Drosophila melanogaster: one gene and its partner. The protein of the gene in region 1 interacts with the protein of each later gene in a pairwise test. Each region holds a gene or a part of one and is shown in the gene's direction. Other genes may lie near its edges.

What was found. Proteins that work in one complex are often made in the same cells at the same time.
Region 2: the proteins of CG33080 (region 1) and otp interact in a two-hybrid assay, tested with the Drosophila melanogaster proteins (one large-scale study listed by BioGRID).

Annotation. Positions count from the first base shown.
Region 1 is NC_004354.4:5,714,495-5,720,060, reverse strand, and holds the start of CG33080 (uncharacterized protein), read left to right. Parts: upstream 1-2,282; 5' UTR 2,283-2,346; coding exon 2,347-2,715; intron 2,716-4,588; exon of another isoform or gene 4,589-4,789; coding exon of another isoform or gene 4,790-4,915; intron 4,916-5,248; coding exon 5,249-5,409; intron 5,410-5,566.
Region 2 is NT_033778.4:20,900,063-20,905,615, reverse strand, and holds the start of otp (orthopedia), read left to right. Parts: upstream 1-2,201; 5' UTR 2,202-2,830; intron 2,831-3,322; 5' UTR 3,323-3,557; coding exon 3,558-3,588; intron 3,589-5,553. UniProt on the Drosophila melanogaster protein: May be involved in the development of the central nervous system.

The DNA of each region.
Region 1 (5,566 bases):
TGACGTCTGCTTGTGATATTTACAATTTACACGATTATTATGATTAATTTTATATATATATATTTAATTTAATTGATTCCATATCTCTTTCGTATCTGTATTGGATTTGTTAATCTCTCGATGTGCGTAGACCACGTAATGTATTTATTATGTTTAGTTATAGTCCTATGATAATGTGAATTTACAATTATGTTTATTATTATTACTCTCTCGTTTTCCTTCTTATTTTTTTTTTGTTCTCTTTTTTTTTTGGCCATTTACATGTAGCAAGCGCTTAGTTTAGATTTGTGTGTATTCCATATAATAATTAATAATACTATGCAACTAAAAACGCTCTCTCGTTGTTTATTTGATTATACTTTCTGTGTCTCGTGGCTGTTGAGCAAACAAAAGTGTTGGGCGTCTCAAATAGAAGCCACATATATCGAGCAAAGTATATACGCTAACAAGAAGATGCATTCCATAATAAGTACGATAGAACGATAAATTATCAATGTTTTCTAAACACATTTAATACGACAACAACACAGCTCGGCGAACATAAGCTAGATGAAAAATTGAAAATAAATAAATGCGTATGTGAACTGGAAGATTCATCAAAACGTTTAAGTGTACAACTAAACTAAATGAACAAATTTAACAAATTTATCGAAAACAAGCATAATAAAAGCAAATTGCATTTTTCCCCTTTTCAAAATTACTCAAATCATTTCTTGTGCGAATGCGGTGGTTTTGAATCGAATTATGTGGAAGATCTTAAGATATTCTCTTATTTAGTGGTTTGTATTACATAGTTGTATCTTTTTTGGCAGACTTCAAATTGAGTGTAGTCATCGGATAGCCATGGCAAAAATAGTCGTACTTATTGGCTTATTGAAATTACTCACACATAATTCGAGAGTTGACCAACTTTGGCGGTGACTTTGAATCGCGAATTGCATGATAATTTTGTTTTACCTGCCATCTGGGTTTATTAATTCTCAAACGAGGTGTCTATTGAATCGCCATCGCAACAGGTTATTTGTTTAGTTTTGAATACATTTCAGCAATTAGTCCCACTGTACTGGGTTTATCAGAAGCTGTAAATTTGGTTATGCCTGTTTTTTTTGTGTTTCACTAAATCGGTTTATTACCGTCTCTAATATGTGATTCAGTCCGATTGCCTCCATACGCTGCGTCTGCGGTACAGTGACCACAAGCTATGGTGGCCACACAAAATATGTATATATCGAGTAATTATTAATCTAATTATTTCAATTTAATTACTAAAATTACATATAAATTGAGATATTTATATATTTAACCAGAAGCGGTTACCTTATCTAGATACACCCGTACCATCCACACTTCTACCCTTTCCCGTGGCAATGATCATAAATATAGTTCAATCGTCAAATATTTGCGCACTCTAGACAATTTATGAGTGCAATTTGTTAAACAATATTGCGAATTAGTTGTGGCATTCCGCACCGTTAGATTATCAATTTGCGGAGCACTTGGTGAGAGAAGTTTGCCCATGGGGGGGTTGGGTTTGGGTTTGGATGTGGGTGGCTGCGTTGGTTTGGTTTACCTTATCAGGTAACACATGTAATTATTGAAAGGCGCTGCTCGATCGAAATGATCGGATCGGCGGGCGAACGAGTTTGGCTCTTGACTTTGCCAGTTGATTAAATTTTGTTTGACTTTTTATTCGTGTACACTTGGTGCTTTAAAACAAGGTCGAGAATTTTGCGGAGAGCGACGAGAAGGGAGTCGGTGCGAGATTACGCCTAATTAGCCAGGCAAACAAATGCGATCCACGAAGTGGGCTTATGGCTAGAAAACGAACTTAATTAACTCATTCAGTGGGGCAACAGTCGCAGAGTTCAAATAGCTTTTAACGTTCGGTATACGGGGCGTATTAGCAATATCTGCGTAACCAGCGCACCCGGATCACAAATACACTGAAAGATTTGAATTTCAAAAACCGAAATTCTAGCACAATTATTTGGGGCTCAGCATGATGATTTAAGTTTTTGATATCTATATTTTTCATTTACACTGTTAACTGATTAATTTAGCCATAATATATATGTATGTGCAACTGTGATTGAGCATTTTTTTTTTTTCGATCGGTGTGTGCGATTATCGCCGACCGATGATAAGCGCTGATTAAAGGCAAACAGCGATGGCAATCGAAGCCGCCCGCTCACTGCCCGTCTCCCTCTGTCCGGCCGCCCAGCGCTCTCTTTCGCTCCGCCGGCGATTTCGGGTTCCGGTTGCCGCGCTCAACCCTTTTTTTCATTCGCCAGTGGAACGCGATCGCGTTTGGAACGCAGCCGCTGGAACTGAGAAGCGGCCGGTGAAATGGCTCAACCATCGCAATCGGGAGCCGCGCAGGCGCTCAACGGCCAGCATCCGGAGTTGGCCTTCGCGGATGCGGACACGGACGGAGATGAGCGACTGGAGGAGCATGGGCAGGAGCAGGAGCAGCTCCAGCTACTGGGTGCCATGCCCAGGAAGCAATCTCTCAGCGAGCGACGCAATGTGGATCTACCGCATTTGAAGATGGTCAACGAAAAGGAGCCGGAGTCGGCGACGCCGTCGCCGGAGGCCTTTGCACCGGGACTCCGACGCAATTCGATATCCATGCCCTCGGGCATTAATGCCCTGGATCTGGAGGCACTGCGTCTGCGACATCAGATGCAGCCGCAAGATGCGCTGCACGAGGAGATTGTAAGTACTGCACGCTTTTCATTTGAATTCATCAGAAAAATCTAGCATTCAGCATTGAATTCATCAGTGAATATTTTGTACCAATGTAAAATGAAGAATCTGGCGTAGGAGGTACATAAAAAGATTAGTTTACGACCCAGTTTATATCCATAGAAATTCCTCGAAAGACAAGTCGCTTCGGTCGCTCAGTTGCTTTAAAACAAAACTATTTTAAGTGGAAAATGTACATAAAACATTAAACAAATTAAAGGTTTAATTCATTCGTAAAGTACATAATCTTTGGAAAGGAGCTACCTTTAGAGGGTATTTAGAGTGCCGTTTTGCCATTTTTTTTTTCTTTTTTTGAAATATATAATTGCAGCAAACCAGTTGAGCAGTTAAGCCCCATTCGAAATTAAAATACAATGCGTAATTAAGCGAGGCGTCATCGCCTCTAGTCTGTTTCCTCGCGCTCGGCGAATCTCGTCGATTTACAGAAAAGTTACCCAAAAAAAAAAAAGATACAAACGTTAATTGTGCCTTAATTATATGAAGTTGGCAAACAATAAACATGTGACCAAAAACCCGAAATCCAGTTAATAGTCACATGATGGTCCTACGGTACAAATGGGCACCATTAATTTAGCACATTCACTAATCCAAAAACAAAATATATTTCTAAAGTGTCCATTCAATATATTAGTATATCACATTAAATGCCCATTAATATATGCATCGTGCTCCAAATACGAACTCATAGCTTTCGACATTTGCATAAACATTTATGCTAACAAGAATATTATCATTTAAAAACACTTTAATTTGGTACAAATTAAAACGAGTTGCCGTTTGAGGCAACCACTCAATCTTTAAACTTATTATATAAGTATATGTTTTTTATTTGTATTTTTTCATTTCAACAAAGACGCATGTAAGCGCGAAGCAAAAAAAATATGATTGATTGCCGATCTTTCGCACAAATATTTACATTATTCCGAACCCTGTGAATTCCAAACTAGAATATCTGAATTATTAGCGCATACGATATTTTTCCGTGGGAGATTTTTGTCTATTATTTTCGATGTGTTAAACACTCAAACTCATTACTGGTGTCGGGAAGTAGCGACGAATGCCGTGCGCTAATTATAGAGCTGCAAACAAGCCGACGGGCGGACGGAGGGGGCGTGGCCAGGCCAACGAGGCGTATGTGTGATGTGACCAAGCAATCAACTGTCACATAGCGAGAATATAACACATACGCAGTGTGGTCAGTGTGAGCAATATGCCCAAAAGTATGCAATGCGAAACGCAACTTCTTTGATGGCAGGCAAAATATAAATTTTCGAAGAGAGGTGAGAAAATGTGGAATGAACAGAAATATTGAAAGGGTGACATAAATGTCACACCACGACGATTTAATTAGACAGATTCTCTCTGTTTCATTTCAAGCTATTCAAATAACATTTGATTTTGGAACGAAGCTCATTTTAAATTGGAATATTTAGCATTCAGTTTGTTCAAATTACTTGCAGTGCATTCATATTTATGGCCATTCGTCATGAAGTACGGCTAATATACCAAGACCGCAGTACGTCGCCAATCAGGGTAGCCGCAATTAATTTACGACTACCGGATTATTCTATCAAAATCAAATTCCGCACTCTTTCGAGCCGACTCAACTAGCTCATGATTGTTCTGAGTGTGGGTGTCGATATTTTCACTCAACGTAGCGCTGCCGACGCCGACTGCGGCAGAGGCTGCGAGAGCGAAGCGATTAAAACGCATAAATTGAGGCTTCAAAAACAATATTCAGGCAATAGCGAACCAGCAATTATCAACGGTTAACAGTGCGATCGCGGCACTAACGTCGTTCGGATCGGTTATAATTATTTGGCAACTCGAAAATATCGGCGATGCGAACTAGGTCAATCAAAGTTAACAGCAAACTAATAGAACAACGACTATCCTAATTAAATATAAACAATTTGTTTTTGTTTTACCTATTCTGTGACTCAGTGAAGTGTTTGATTGAAAACCCACAATTTAGTGCTGTGATAACATAAGTATTGCACGGTATAATCGTTGAGTGTCCACAATGAGCTCATCCAACAGCCGATTCATCCTCTCGAGCGTTCCCATCGAGGATCAGCAACACCCAGCACCGAATGTTAGACACAACGCCGTTGTGCTCGATATCAGTGCGGCTATGGATAAGGATAAGGCAGGTACTAAGTGTGGCTTGTAGCTTATGACGTACTCCATTCGATTCGATGCCATTTTTTCCGGGCTTGCCGTTATATTGTACGGGAGACACCTTGACTGGGTATTCTCTGCGGTAACGCCTCTGTGCTAATTGCACTCACCTTGCCCAAGTGCAGGTGTCAAAAGCCCAGAACCCATATGTATATGAATGGTATGGTATGGTATAGCCCAACCAAAATGCCATACTTTTCAGTTACAATCGCTTGCTGTTTGCTCTATCAATCCAGCTATCTGTGTAGTGTAGCAAAAAAGGAAATCTATCTGTTTGACTATATAAATTCTAATTTTTCAGATAGCCGACGATGCGACCTCCAGCCTGGGCACACCGGCCACTCCGGATACGCCGGGCACTACGGCGCCGACGACAACGGCCAATACGCCGGATAAGGCCATCAATTTCGCCAACGATGACAGCGATGACGAGTTCGGGAACGCCAGAAGACCAGTTCATCGGTGAGTGATTAGATCAACTACTACCACTACCACCGATAACTAACTAAGTAAATTTCATATATGCGGTTCTTGTATTTAAATAATTGGAGCTACTTTCAATTATGACCCACGCTGTCGTTGGGCACTTTTGCCCATTTGATTCATCGGGCAATTAGAT
Region 2 (5,553 bases), on another chromosome or scaffold:
CTTCCAACGCCGCCCCAAGTGTCCCATCTCTTTCCACTCATCTCATCCTTCGGCTACAAGTACCCGTGACAACTGAAGAATTTTCTGCGGCATCCGAACCCCACCTCCCAAGTGTCCGACGCAATTCATCATTCAATTAAATTGACCGCAAAGAGCAGCATTTCACATCGCTCAGTTCGTCGACATCGCCTTGGGTTAAGTTTTTAAAGTTGCCCAAAGTCGAATCCTTTAATGCCTTGCCAGCATTTTTGCTGCAATCGATTATCCTTTCAATAAAATGCCGCGGAGGCGAGAAAAAAAAACTTTTACCCCCTCGAAATTTAACGCTTTCGCCCGCCGCATCCCCCTGACCCGAAAAATTGGGGATATCTTTTGAGGTTGATTTATGCGCTGGCTTAAAAGCGAATTGTTGTGAGCTGCTAACTGGAAATCTGTTTGACTGCACGTACTTGTTCTGGTTCTCCACACATAGCCCTCCACACTGAAATCTCCATCATCGACTTTCCGGGCTTAAACGATTGCCAAACAAAGTCAAAAGAGAACGTCGTGCATGCCGAAGGATTCGGAATCCTTTGCATTTGAGCTGCGCTTTTTTTTTCCGCCATGCTTCTTGGTATGCCGGTCCCGGCAACTCAAGGATTTCGCAGCTGTCCTGGTCACAGTCACTATCTGCTGCCCGGATTTGGCCAAAGTGATTTACGACATGCTCATGCCAGGCATTCAAAATGCGGTCTAATTGAGACTCCTTAGATGATTAATCCTTGGCTAATATGGCGAAATTCAACAAGTCTACGCCGCACATTTCCCATAAATTTATTTTTCTTTTTGCTGCCGATAACGCCTTTGATTAATTAACACACTCGAAGTTTTTTTATGTACCTCATGTGAGAAAAGGAAAAAAAATGAAAAGTGATGCATATGCTCTAATAAGTGAGCCCAACAACGAATTGAGATGTTATCACGATTTATTCGGCTTGTTTACTTTATAATACACTAACAGAAAAATTTCTGTTCGATGTTTTCGACATTTGTGTGGGATTGTTATAAGTATTTCACACGTTAGTATGCAAGTTTGTGAAATACAAGACTTAATAGGTTGTGTACAATTATCAATCTAAATTTATTACGCCACTTATTAAATTTTTTAAATTATTTTAGAACGTTTGTCACCCCGCACAAGTGTGAACCTTGAATTATGCTCATTGCAAAACAAACTACAACTGCTGCGATTTTTTGCATTCTTCTTGTGGTTTTAATTGCTACCTAGAGTTTTTAATTAACGCCCCCGATTTAGCTGTATGTATTTGTCGGAGGGAGAAGGCCAACATAATTTGCAGACTTTTGAGGGGCGGTGGGAGGACTTTGAACTGGGCGCAGGAAGTGGGGTGGAAATCCTTTGAATTGCGGTTGCCATGACAAACTCTTATTTCGCCCGGCATTCCGTTGTCTGGCTAATTCAACGTTTGTGCAGCATGCAAAATATTATAAAATTCCGCCAAATGTCGGAGGTACTTCCCCTCCAGCAAAAAGACGGGCAAAAAAAAAAAACGGAAACAAAAACTAATAAACGACAACAGGTGAGGCTGAAAGCTGACACGTGGCATCAACAACGCTGAGTAAGAATTCAAGGCGCATTTTTGGGAGGAGTGGACTTTCAGCAATAACTGTGGCCCAAGCGCCGGTTGCCAACGCGACCAGCTGTGGAGTATAGTTGAAGTTTTTCGAGGGGAATCGAGGTCTGTTTCGGCATCGATGATAGCCCGCCTATCGATAGGCGGCAGGACCTGTTATCGCCGAGGGCGCCAAAAAGTGCTATCGTTCGGGGCCACAAGCTCCCGAGTTCCCTCATTCGTTGGTCTGCATTGAGGGCGTGGTCTGGCCTACGCACAGCGAGTATAGCCGACCCGCTCTAGCAACCACTTGGCAGGGCAAGCGCGAACGAGTCAGCATGCTTGGCTCGACGGCAAGATGGCTGTGGGCTCAGCTAGCTGTCTCCTTTCCTCGCCCGCCCGGGGCACTGGCACGGTGTGTGCTCTTTGCGATTTTTGCAAATCAATGCGAGAGATAAGCCCGCTGGCAGAGATAACGCTTGACTTAACCGTCAATTGTGCGAGGGGGTGGCGATTGAATGCGGCGCCAGTGCGCAGTCGTTGTTGTCGAAGTTATCAGGTTTCGTAGTCAATTCGCTTTGATTTTTTCGCACTGCCCTCAAATGCAAGCGAGCAGCGCTACGTATACGGCGTACAGCTCCCATACGATACAATAGTGCGATCCGAAACAATTCGATCCGTTTCCGTTTGCTAGTGCCTAGAAAGCCGTCGCACTGGCAGAGACCATTAACCGAATTGATCTAACTGGGAAGTGCCAAGGAATAACTAAGTGAAAATGTGCCCGAAGTGTAAAAATGCTATCAATTAAACAGTAGAAAACAAGGACGAGTGACCACACCCGAAGGTGGAAGCAAGCCGTGTCCTCCGCCGGACAGTGTCCGGCTGTCAGTTGGTCAAACAGTTCATCAATAAACGATTCGACTTCCGTTTCATTGCGTGTCCCTAAGCTGTGCATGTCTGCGTGTCTGTGAGTGCGATTGTGTGTGTGTGCCAGCTGTGCGCGTGTGTGTGTGTGTGTGTGGGAGCTAAGGAAACTTTTCAACTTCCGGCCAAGTGACTTGGATTTAATTTCTTTGGCTTTTTTATGGTCAAGGCATTTAATTAATTTTACTATGGCAATTTGATCGTCTGCTGGCCTGAACTCTGACCCCAGCCCATAACCCTGTGGCATACACAAAAAGCAAGGAGGCGGAAAAAGGACGAGCGATAGGAGGAGCCAGGTGAGTCCTTGGCCAAATGAGCAATAAAACTCAATGCAAATGCCCACACAATCGAACTTCGGCAGAAGTTTCTGCGGTTAAGGAAAGTGAAACGGATTTAGTTTTCTGGTTAGTCGCACAATAGTTAAATTACCCAAATAGCTGGACATTTGACAGGGGTCAAAGTTCAAGAGAGGGCTGGGCCAAATATTCACAACACACGAGCAATTAGTATACTTAAATGTTTTGCCAAGACAAAAATCAAACATTCATTTATGATTCCAGAAATCTTGATACATTGTAAGCAGTTTTATTGCATATGATTGTATACTATAAACATAAACAAAAACTTTGCTAAACAAGTTAATGACCATTTTCTCTTGTCAATTTAAAAACTTTTAGTATTGAAAATTAACAAGTACTTCCAAAAAAGCACAAAGTCACCTATGTATGTTTATATTTGCGTTGAGCAGAAGCCACCCATCCAAAAATAACAAATCTGTTTACTTGCAGCCACACCCATTTCCACCGAACAATTGAGATGTAATTTGCACCGCAGGTGAACTTCAACTCCAACGTTCTGTGATAGACGAGTATACGAGCAGGAACTCCCATTGGGATTCCGCCACCACCAGTCGATATCGATTCCCGATTCAATCAAATTGGATCCCGAATCCTAACTTTCGGAGCAGCAATCAGAAACAGCGACAAACTGTCGACTCTGTCGATCCGCAATTTCTCGGCAAACATGCTGAACAATCTTGGGGCCAATGTGCTGGGTAAGTTACGCCCCCAATCCTCGATAGCGTTTTAAGTGCGGGCTGCGGGCGGGAGCTGCGTATAATGTTGCAATTAAGATCGCCAAGTGAATTGCGCTAATGTATAATAATGTGTGTATTAATCCATGGCATACGATCCGCCTGGCCATAATTAAACTAATTTCTTGAGCACACCCACAAAAGATCGGAGGGGTAGTTAGTCGTACTTCCGATCTGGCGATTGCCATCGCATCTCCCATGTCTGCTAAATGGCCTATAATTGAGACGTCTAACCAGATGGCGCCAGGTGTCGCGTGCATTTAGCAATAATTAAGTTGTGTATTTAACTAACTCGGCAAACCTTCTCCGATTCCCATTCCCATATGCCTATGCCCATTCCGAATCGAGTGTGGGTGGGTGTGTTTGTGTTAATTGATATAATTGCTCTTTTAAATATGCCGCAAATTGTGAATTACATTCACACATTCACCCGGCGCACGCACATAATTATCAAACTGTACTTGTGTCCTCATATTAATATATTAATAATTCCGAATACACATATGTACATATGTATGTGCGTGTGTGCAGGTGAATAAATTATTTTTACCACACTGTTGATCAACGATTCAAGCACTTTCAATTTTGGCAATCAATTTGTTGTTAGCCGTCCAACACTACCAGAAAATACAGTTTGCAAGTGCATTTGCAACTGCAACTGCAGCAGCCATGGATGAGTTATGGCTCGCGTTTATATTCAATTTTTATTGCCAGCATCCTTGCGTCCTTCGAAGCGTTGCCATTAATTACTTTTATTAATTTATTGCCATTTTTCACGCGCCAATTGTCGCCGCTCGGTGCACGCGGCGTATGCGTAATGTCCATAGTTGCCATTGAAGATGGGTGTTTAATTAAGGGCTAGCAAGCGAAACTGATCTGACGGTTTGCTATCTGCCATGGATTGCGACTGCCAAAGTTGGCTTTTAAAGTTTTCGCCGGCTTCAACTTTAGCCAGCTCCATTTGCCCACGAAGAACTATAAATTTCAATGAATCGCAGTGCGGAATCCTTTGGACAAATCCTGCCCGCAGTGCTGGAGTCTGCCATAATAAATTTCGTGAGCCTTTTTCCGAGTTTCGCACAACAGAGAGGCCAAAAAACATTTGCATACTGGGTGCGTGGCCGAGAGGGGCAAAAGTGGATGCCCCCCTAACCACCCCTTTACAATTAAGAGCAATTTGCATGCAAAAGAAATGGCAGAACTTTCCCCGGATTCGTATTGTCTCTCCCCTACTAATGCTTAATTTGCATGCAGCGAAAGGAGCTCGAATGGCGTTTCGTTTGGGCGCTTTTTTCGTGAGCCTCGCATTAATTAAATTAATTTCATGATTGCATTTGTAATTTGCACAGACCCCCTTCAGGTTTACCCCCACCCGTCCGTTGCATCCACGAAATATCTGCGCGTGCTTCGCTTTGTGCGTTCGGCATTTTTGCGGTGGCCTAGGCTAGTGAAATATGTGTGCTTAACCCCGCTGAACACCGCTTAACCCCCCACTGCCATATCCGCTTTGCATTGAAATGTTTTGCGGTTGCTGCGGATTCTGTTCCCAGTTGCGGTTAGTTGTTGGAGCAGCCCAGATTCCATGCCATGCCATGCCATGCCATGCCATTCCATTCCATTTCAAACCAAACCGAATCGGAGCGATCTGCATCGTAGTTTGCCAACTCGAGGCCCAAAGGCCAAAGCCTATGTCCTGCTAAAAACCGCACAATTTCCAAATTTCAATAATTATGCACATTGCTGAATGCACATGCAACTGACGGCGAATCTGGATGCAAGTGCTCGGCCATGAAAGTCCGTTTCTGGCCATTCGGCTGGCCATTCCGGCCAGGTCCATATATTTTGCGGGAGAAATCGCGTCGTTCGCTCCCAAAAACAGGCAAACTGATTTGCGCAAATTGTGCAAATTGCTTGCGCGATAAATTC